Linked DNA regions of Saccharomyces cerevisiae S288C. The protein of the gene in region 1 purifies or fractionates together with the protein of each later gene. This does not show direct contact. Each region holds a gene or a part of one and is shown on either strand. Other genes may lie near its edges.

Evidence for each region.
Region 2: the proteins of MRA1 (region 1) and HFD1 purify together in Saccharomyces cerevisiae (affinity purification with mass spectrometry; 2 studies listed by BioGRID, with this or other methods). This does not show direct contact.

The regions. Positions count from the first base shown.
Region 1 is NC_001148.4:579,428-584,690, forward strand, and holds MRA1 (Mra1p), read right to left. Parts: upstream 3,308-5,263; coding exon 3,275-3,307; intron 3,132-3,274; coding exon 2,946-3,131; downstream 1-2,945. Other genes in the region: DNA-directed RNA polymerase I core subunit RPA135, read right to left, coding at 1-1,769; MRX21 (Mrx21p), read right to left, coding at 3,635-4,615; CMR3 (Cmr3p), read right to left, coding at 5,205-5,263.
Region 2 is NC_001145.3:489,894-494,009, reverse strand, and holds HFD1 (hexadecenal dehydrogenase), read left to right. Parts: upstream 1-2,017; coding exon 2,018-3,616; downstream 3,617-4,116. Other genes in the region: EUC1 (Euc1p), read left to right, coding at 218-1,606; MYO5 (myosin 5), read right to left, coding at 3,764-4,116. UniProt on the Saccharomyces cerevisiae protein: Catalyzes the oxidation of long-chain aliphatic aldehydes to fatty acids. Responsible for conversion of the sphingosine 1-phosphate (S1P) degradation product hexadecenal to hexadecenoic acid.

The DNA of each region.
Region 1 (5,263 bases):
CCATCAATTTGAACACAACACAGAGAAGGACCAGCAGCAAAGGTGTGAGATGCCGGAGCAACACCAAGTGAGTATAATATAGAAGGAATTCTTGAGACGTCAGATTGCTGAGTTGATATACGACACTTGTGCGCAAAATGGTTTAATAAACCACAAGGAGAACCATCTGGTGTATGAACAGGGCACAGGAATCCCCACGACTCAGGTAGCAACTTTCTGACTGTGGTAGTTTTCAATTGCGCAAAAAAGGAGCCTCTATGAACCATTCTAAAATGAGAGATAAAACGGTAGAAGTTAATTTTTTCTGCAACCACAGTATAACCAGAAACTTGTTGTAAATCTAACCCAGACTGGGACACCAGGTTACCAGTTGATAAAAAGTATTGCATTTTGGAACCAATGTTTTCATTAACCCTCATTAAAACTCTTGACATGTACCTTTTGTCTTTGAAATTAATGGCCATACCACGGTTAATATCCATCCTGACTTGAGCAATAATATTCTGTAAGTACTCATCAATCTTTTCTTTTAGGATCATACCATATAAGAAACCACCCAAAAGAACTTCTTGATGTTGCGTAGCATCTGGGTTATCTGGAGAACATTCGCCTGCAACCAAGGAATACAACTTTCTGATCATGAACAATAACATTCTGAATTTATCCTGGCTGCCATCCTTACCCAAATGCACGAGAACGATGCGATCAAGGACTTCTTGTCCGACTTCTAAATCAGATTGATCAGGGGAAGCTTGAAAGACAACACGAAATTTGTCTCCTAAATATTGCAAGACTTGTGTGCGATTTTGTAAATGAGGATATCTTTTCTTAAAACCACGTAACAGTAATTCTAAACGATCGGTCAAAAAGGAATCCTTAACGTCATTACCAATAATACCATCAAAAATTTCCCTATCGCTGGTATGACACAAGGCTTTTAAAATCATAACAACAGGAACTAAATATTCATTTTTTCTCCAAGAAAATCTAAATGTAACTTGACCGTCATTTAAGTAATGCAAAACATTAGTTTGGGAAGTTTGATCCGGCCTGACAGATCTAATTTGAATACCGTAATGAGAATAGGATGCACCCCTGTTAGCGAAGGAAGGTCTGATGATAGCCATAGGATGATTTCTACGTTGCACAATCAGCATTCTAATAAGCTTTTCTATACCGTTAACAATGAAATAACCACCTATTTCATCGGATTCTTCCTTGTGTTGTACCAGTTCATATGGTGACATCTTGTTCAAGTGACATCTGTTACTCTGTAGCATAACTGGTAGACCACCACAATCTCTTACTTCAAATAAGTTCTCCTCGCCATTGTTCACGGACCACTTCAACTTTAAAAGTAATTTACCTCTGTAAGAAGTAAGCCTTTGTCTTGACTCACTTGGGTAAACTTTTCTCTCTACTGCAGAAGAAACACCATCGTTAGACATTGGCTTCGCAATAGACACTTGTTCCACACTAACAGAAAGCTTATTCCCGAGGTATCCGCTGTTGGATATTTCGTCTTCAGAATTGAGTGGTTTTCCATCAAATATAACTTTTTCACCGATGTCTTTAACACCAAGATTTAACAAACCTCCATCCGGACCTTCTGTTAATGCGTTAAAAGACCCAATATGAGGTTGAACAGCTTCCTGTAATAGTGGAAATGCTGATTTATCCTTAGGTGGATTGATGAACCTAGATTCACGTTCTAAGGTACGGAAATCAGCAGTTCTGGCTTGGCCAGGCGGCTTAATCACTTTGCTCATCTCACCAAATGCGTAATTCTACGTTTATTTGTCAATATTCTTGAGGAAGACTTGCTTGAATATTACGAGACAGCTGAAGTAAGTTTGAATAATTAAGAGATGAGATGAGTCTCTAAGATGCGCTTGAAAAATTTTTCATACGAAAAAAAAAAAAAAAAAAAAAAAAAAACACTCGCAAGAGTAATCTCAATAATAATTTCCGTCATTAGCGATTATAGCATGAAGGGAGGCCGAGAGGCCGCTTCTGCGGTATGATAATTAAGTGGTAGTGCAGAGACTCAAAAGGGCGCTGAGAATCTATTAGAAATGCCATTAAGTGCTTTGAACTCTTGTAGCATGTCTGCTTCTGTAGATATAACACTCTGATGCAGATTTATGAATAATTTCATCACTCGATGTCATCAGCGTCTTCCTTCATTTGATGCTTTTTTGAAGTTTTCATGGCATGATTTAGCATTTGAAATATAATGAGAAAAGAGCCCTTTAACTTACAGAAGTAAATGTACAAAACTTAATCGGAGGAAGAAGCTTAAACATACAAAAACAACAGCAGGATGACTACAAAGAAGCCGTTAAACAAATCTTTTTGTCTCCGTTACTAATTCACTAATATAGTAATTTTGCTAACCTCTATCGTCATTGAAACTGATTTGTCCTCGAGAAGGCAACAATCAAACTGCAAAAGAAACGTAAAGCAACGACTTGAACAAGTAATCGCTAACCACATATTGAGATAAGCAGATAATCGCTGTTAAACGTCGTTGATACAGTCAGTCAATATGAATAGTGTAGTATTTTATCGTTAGGTTCACCTTCCAAATATTCGTTAGATAAAGATGTTTCGGTTTTTTATTTCAACAAAAGAGCCTTGTTGGCGCAATCGGTAGCGCGTATGACTCTTAATCATAAGGTTAGGGGTTCGAGCCCCCTACAGGGCTTTCTTTTTTATTGCATGGTCTATCATCAGGTTCCCTTAACCGCTGCCAAGAAAGAGCACGTGTAAAAATGGAATGATTATACATCAATTAAACATATAGTCATGGTGGTGTTGACATGTATATAATATACATTAGTTTTGTCATATTTGAAGAATAAATAATATTTCGATTTGTTCCCGACAATTATTGAAAATGTTTTAAGTGTAGATATTAATATAACAAATCATCAACATGGTTTTTAATCCTTATCTTTGGCAAGGACTTCATCTAAACTAGATAATTCTGGGTTACCTGTCAATCTCAAAGTCTCGTCAGTTCTTAATTTCTTATATGTGAAGTATGTCCCAGAGCATAAAGCTACACCAACAGCGAGAAATAACGGTGTTAATTCGACGGGTATTTTGTAGCCACCAGATGTTTTTTTCTAGTTTTTTGTTAGTATAATACTCTATAATCTTGTAGTTAGCATTCATAATCAACATAATTGTTTTCTTAGAAAGCATCAAGTCAGAATGAACGCATGATTATCCGTTTGTCACAATAAAAAGAAAATATCCCTTAACATACAGCTGTATTCAACAGTAACTGTGCTGGTCTCATTTTTCTATATTTTTCTTTTTTTAAAGTATTGTCAGAAGTCGTTCAGGAAACTACCAAAATTAAATAAGTCTCAAAACAAAGTTAGCTTATACTGGTATGGGAAGAGTTATAGTTGCTTTTGAGGAGATGGCGATGCCTTTAAAGTCTGTTCTCATGCTCATCATAAAGTACGGGAAATCCCCCGCTTTGTACGATATGATTGGCCCATACTGCAAGACCGATATAAAGAAAAATAGACAAGTTAATGCTATATACAGGATGTCGTTCTTCAGCGGAGGGATCGCGTCATTACTTGGTTTTCGCTGACCCAAGCCTGTCACCTCAAGCTCACCAATTTCTTACAGAATCACATACAACTTCGTAAACTAGCCAACTCACTGCAGTTGAAGGAACAACTTTAAAAAGGTTTGCAGCTAAGCCTTTGTAGTAACCGCTAACGCCTTCTGCTCTGCCGATTGTCACGAGCGCATCCCAGACACTCGTGTATCTAAATCCCAGTTCATTTCCGCCCATTGCGAGAACTTGAAATCTTCTTCTTAGCAGATCAAAGGGATAAGTGATTGTTTGCGCAACCCCTCCACTTATGGCGCCAATTGTTAATTTATAGAGGTTACTTTTCCAGGAAGGCTGAGCATCGGAGGAATTGACACCGAATTCTCTCAATTGTTCGTAAACTGCAAAGTTTAGTGCTACATATGGAACAACACCAAGACTCGTTGGCCATACACCCCTATATAATCCCCTGAGACCGCCTTCGAGTCTGTAAGTTTCGCTTAGTAATTGCCAGATCCCCGGAGGCTTTGATATACTTTTTGCCTTTGAGCGGTTTAAACTGCTCAAATTTGCTGTCTGAATCGATAGTCTTGTTTTGATCAAGTCCAACGGGTAAGTAGCCACCACACTACAACCACCACACAATGCACCACTGAATAGTCTTTGGGTGTTCGTTAGTTGTTCTTGTCCATTATTGCCATTTACATGGAATAACTTTTTCTTACAAGCTTCGTATACTACAAACTGGACTGCACTATAGGGAAAAATTCTTATGCAGTTCAAACCATTTCCTCTGAATAAACCTTTGGTTCCCTCCTCATGGTAAACCTGCCGTATAGAGCTAAAGATACCTCGGTTATAAGAAGTGGTTGAACTTTGAACTTGCAGCAGTATTTTAACTCTCTCAAAAGGTGAAACAACGGTTCGGGAAACCGCGCCAGCTACTCCACCAGCTAGAAACGCAATATTTGAATCCTGCTTGAGAAAATCTTTAATTGAGTTCGGCTGCTCGAGGACGGTCAGTACTTCTGCCATGTTAGCGAAATAACGATTAAAAAATTTGAAAGTCAATACTATGAAACAAGGAAACGAGCAACTTGGTATACTTCCCTCACCTTTGTTAAATTCACTTGGCCTTACTGGCAATCATAATCATTTTGACGAACTGCGGACATCGAGAGTACCCTGCAAATATATCTAGAAAAAGAGGTAAAAAAATATTGAAGGGTCAACCTGAAAAAAATTGAAAAGTGAAAATAGATCTGCTGATAAATAATGCACGGCTTGCATCAAGTGATCACATGGAACTTTCCCAATACCTCAACTACGCATTTTCCCTTGCATATTATATCATCATCCATCTTCTTTGCCTCTCATATATTTACGAAATAATACATAAACATAAAAACGTCTTTGTGCGTCCAAGTAAACTTGAAGACGCACTCCCGTTATATAAAACTGGGAAGAACACTAACAAAGAAGGTGACTTGCGCTTAATTAGTTTTATTCCCTTGCTTCTAAAGTCCGTAAAACATTCTATTAGAGTCTATACATAGTTTTGCCTTACCTTTGAATATGAGTTCTAAAAATTCCATTGCAATAAAGCTTTCCGTTCCTATTGTTTCTATGTAGTGTTTAAGACTTTGTTTCTTTTCCTTTCATGGCTTTTCAAATGTCTCAGCA
Region 2 (4,116 bases), on another chromosome or scaffold:
AGCATTTACTTTACTTCAACCAGTATTGTCTAAAGAGAACGAGTTTAGTATTAGTAAAAAAATTAAAAAAAGGAAGCGTACTTGAAACTCAAACACAAACGAGAGTACAAAGGGCATTGCTAGCTTAAAATATTTAACAATCAACTTCGTCTTTTGCCAGAAGACTACATTTTGTGCCATCGAGAAGTTAGTCCAGGAGTCAACACATTAATTAAACATGCCCGCTCGAGAATATAACTATGTAGAAGGTTTTGGTGGGTACGGCTCGTTGGACGATGATGATTCAGATAGAGATTCTGAACGCAGGAATCACGATCTAGGGCAGCGAACTATAACCACAAGTCCAACAGGAGTATCAAGACATGCTGCATTAAATAGGTACATGATCCCAGGCCGTATCAATCCTCTTTTCAGACCGACAGACGCTGCTCAACCTCCCATAGTGTCTACATCCACATCAGCATCGGCAACAGAACCGACCAACAGAATAGGCCCTGGAAGGATAAAAGAAACCCCTGAAACAAATTTCAATGCATTTCTTATAGCACAACTAACCAGAATGGAGGAGCAAAATGCCAATCTGAAGGAAGAAATCAGCCTAATGAAAAAGGAACAAGAACTCTTCTTTCTAGAGAATCAAAAGAAGTTGGAGAAAGGATTTAAAGACATCAATAAGTATGTTGAAGATGTTTCCGCAATGAAAGAAGTCTTCAAAGAGGTAGTTGGTATTATGACTGGGGAGAGAATAAGATTTATAGACCATACTGGGGAAAATGTTACTCCTCAGGAAGCTGCTCGTGTTGGAAATCCATCAACAAGTACGCAAGCTCATCAAAGTCAGTCAAGATCAACAAACTGGCAAGAATATAGTATGCACGCAAGCATATTAGCCGGCGATCCTCGTATCAAGCCTGAGCCAGGGCTGTCAGACTTTGAAAATGGGGAATACGATGGTAATGAAAGTGATGAGAACGCTACCACCAGGAACCTACCTTTAAATAACCCCGATTCTGTTAGCAATGCTGATGACAGTAATAACCAACTCGATGGAACAGGAAACGAGAATGATATCAGAAACAGAAGAGGGTGCGTTGGAACGTCATATAAACTAAATCGTGCAATCCAGAACGTTACAGATGCGGCCCGTGAATACTTTGAAGGCTTACCGGGCCAACCGTCAGTTCTTTCCCTTGAGAGGAGATATGGGTCCACTTGGAGGCGATCTGCCAAAGAAAGGACTTTGTTCACTAAAAGAATGACCATCATAAAAAGAATAATAGATATAAAAGATGATCCAAGCAAATATGGTTTGTCGCTACCTGAGAATAAAATAAGTAGAAACCAAGCCATCAAGGTTGTCGAAAATATAAGATTGGGAAACAATACCTTCAAAGGACATCATTGCCGATTATCAATGTCCCAGTTATACGAATACTTCTCCAAAAAAATGGACAAACTCGAAGACTATTCACTTACTCTAAAGAGAAGAGGGAAGCCAAGAAGAATTTTCTTGTTAGAAGAGAGAGAAGCTAGATTATCATTACAGCAGCCACATAGTATACCAAATTCCAGTACAGGCACACCAGAACATGATCAAGACACTTAGAGGAAATGGAACAACGAATTTCCAGCCAAAAATTCCGAGTAGTTCATGATGAAAGATTTTTACATGCATTTTATATATAAATATATACCGTCCTATATGGATTTCATGCCAACAGGGTATATAATAGACAATTACCGGTGTACTGATATATCAACTATCGACTCCAAGCCTTTTATCTATCAGTCAATTTTACATCAAGATCCCACTTTTAGATAGGTTCGAAAATTCAATCTAATATTAGTGATTTAATTAGATGGTGGATTGCTTACCCTTTTTTTTGTCGTTTTAGGAGGAGATTCTTCGGATTTTAGGGATAAACGGATACTCCATATATAAAAAACAAAACTTCAGGCATATTGATTATCTAAAAGGAATATTCTAAAACCATAGCCATAGTAATTTATCACCAACATGTCAAACGACGGCTCAAAAATATTGAATTATACCCCAGTGTCTAAAATAGATGAAATAGTTGAAATCTCAAGAAATTTCTTCTTTGAGAAACAATTGAAATTGTCCCACGAAAATAACCCAAGGAAAAAAGATCTAGAATTCAGGCAGTTGCAGTTGAAAAAACTCTATTATGCCGTCAAAGATCATGAGGAAGAACTGATCGATGCTATGTACAAGGACTTTCATCGGAACAAAATTGAATCGGTTCTGAATGAAACGACCAAACTTATGAACGATATACTTCACCTAATTGAGATTTTACCAAAATTGATCAAACCTCGGAGAGTATCTGATTCTTCTCCTCCATTTATGTTTGGTAAAACAATCGTGGAGAAAATATCAAGGGGCAGTGTCTTGATTATTGCTCCTTTCAATTTTCCCCTACTTTTAGCATTTGCCCCATTGGCAGCAGCTCTTGCTGCAGGTAACACCATTGTTCTGAAGCCAAGTGAACTAACACCACACACTGCTGTAGTTATGGAAAATTTGTTAACCACAGCTGGTTTCCCTGATGGATTGATTCAAGTAGTTCAGGGAGCTATAGATGAAACTACAAGACTACTAGATTGTGGAAAATTTGACCTAATATTCTACACAGGTTCTCCCCGTGTCGGATCAATAGTTGCTGAGAAAGCAGCAAAAAGTCTAACACCTTGTGTACTTGAACTTGGTGGTAAATCACCTACCTTTATTACAGAAAATTTCAAAGCAAGTAACATAAAAATTGCTTTGAAAAGGATTTTTTTTGGTGCTTTCGGAAATTCTGGCCAGATTTGTGTTTCACCAGATTATTTGTTAGTACATAAATCTATCTATCCAAAAGTCATTAAAGAGTGTGAATCAGTACTAAATGAATTTTATCCAAGCTTTGATGAACAAACAGATTTCACTCGTATGATTCATGAGCCTGCTTACAAAAAGGCCGTTGCAAGTATAAACTCAACTAACGGCTCCAAGATTGTGCCTTCAAAAATTTCTATCAATTCAGATACTGAGGATCTATGCCTTGTACCACCAACCATAGTTTATAACATTGGTTGGGATGATCCTTTGATGAAACAGGAAAACTTTGCTCCTGTATTGCCCATCATTGAGTACGAGGATCTTGATGAGACCATTAACAAGATAATAGAAGAACATGACACTCCATTGGTGCAATACATATTCTCTGATAGCCAAACTGAAATAAATCGTATCTTGACGCGCTTAAGATCTGGTGACTGTGTTGTCGGTGATACAGTGATTCATGTAGGAATTACCGACGCTCCATTTGGAGGGATCGGTACTTCAGGTTATGGTAACTATGGTGGATATTATGGATTCAATACCTTTAGTCATGAAAGAACAATTTTTAAACAACCATATTGGAATGATTTTACCCTTTTTATGAGATACCCTCCAAATAGCGCACAAAAGGAAAAGCTCGTCCGTTTTGCGATGGAAAGAAAACCTTGGTTTGACAGAAATGGCAATAACAAGTGGGGGTTACGCCAATATTTTTCATTATCTGCCGCCGTTATTTTAATTAGTACCATTTACGCTCATTGTTCTTCCTGAACGTAATGTTTAAGGTTAATTAATTATTTGATGTATAAGTAACCTTTCGTTTAAAAATTTCATATGGGCGATAATATATCAATATTTATTAATTACAATTTACTCTATTTGCTCGTATAGAGTATATACTCGCTAAATACATTTTGATTACCAATCATCTTCCTCTTCATCTTCGTTAGCCTCCTCGTCATCACTCTCTAATCTCATTTTATTGGCCCTAGCAGCAAGCGCATTCGCCAAACCATCACCCAAACTTGCTTGGGCTGCAGCTGGAATAACGTTTGCAGAGGTGTTATCATGTTGTACAGAATTCAGAACGGGTTTAGGAACATCCCTGTTTTGAGGAGGAGTAGGGATATTATTATTTCCGGAATGTGGTTTCATGTAAGCTGTTGGCACCCAACCTTCCTTAGAGCCATCCAGAAGTTTCCCGAGAGACCAACCGCTTGGTTCTTCTCTTGTAATGTAAATTACGTCTCCTTTCTTTAAAGGTAACTCAG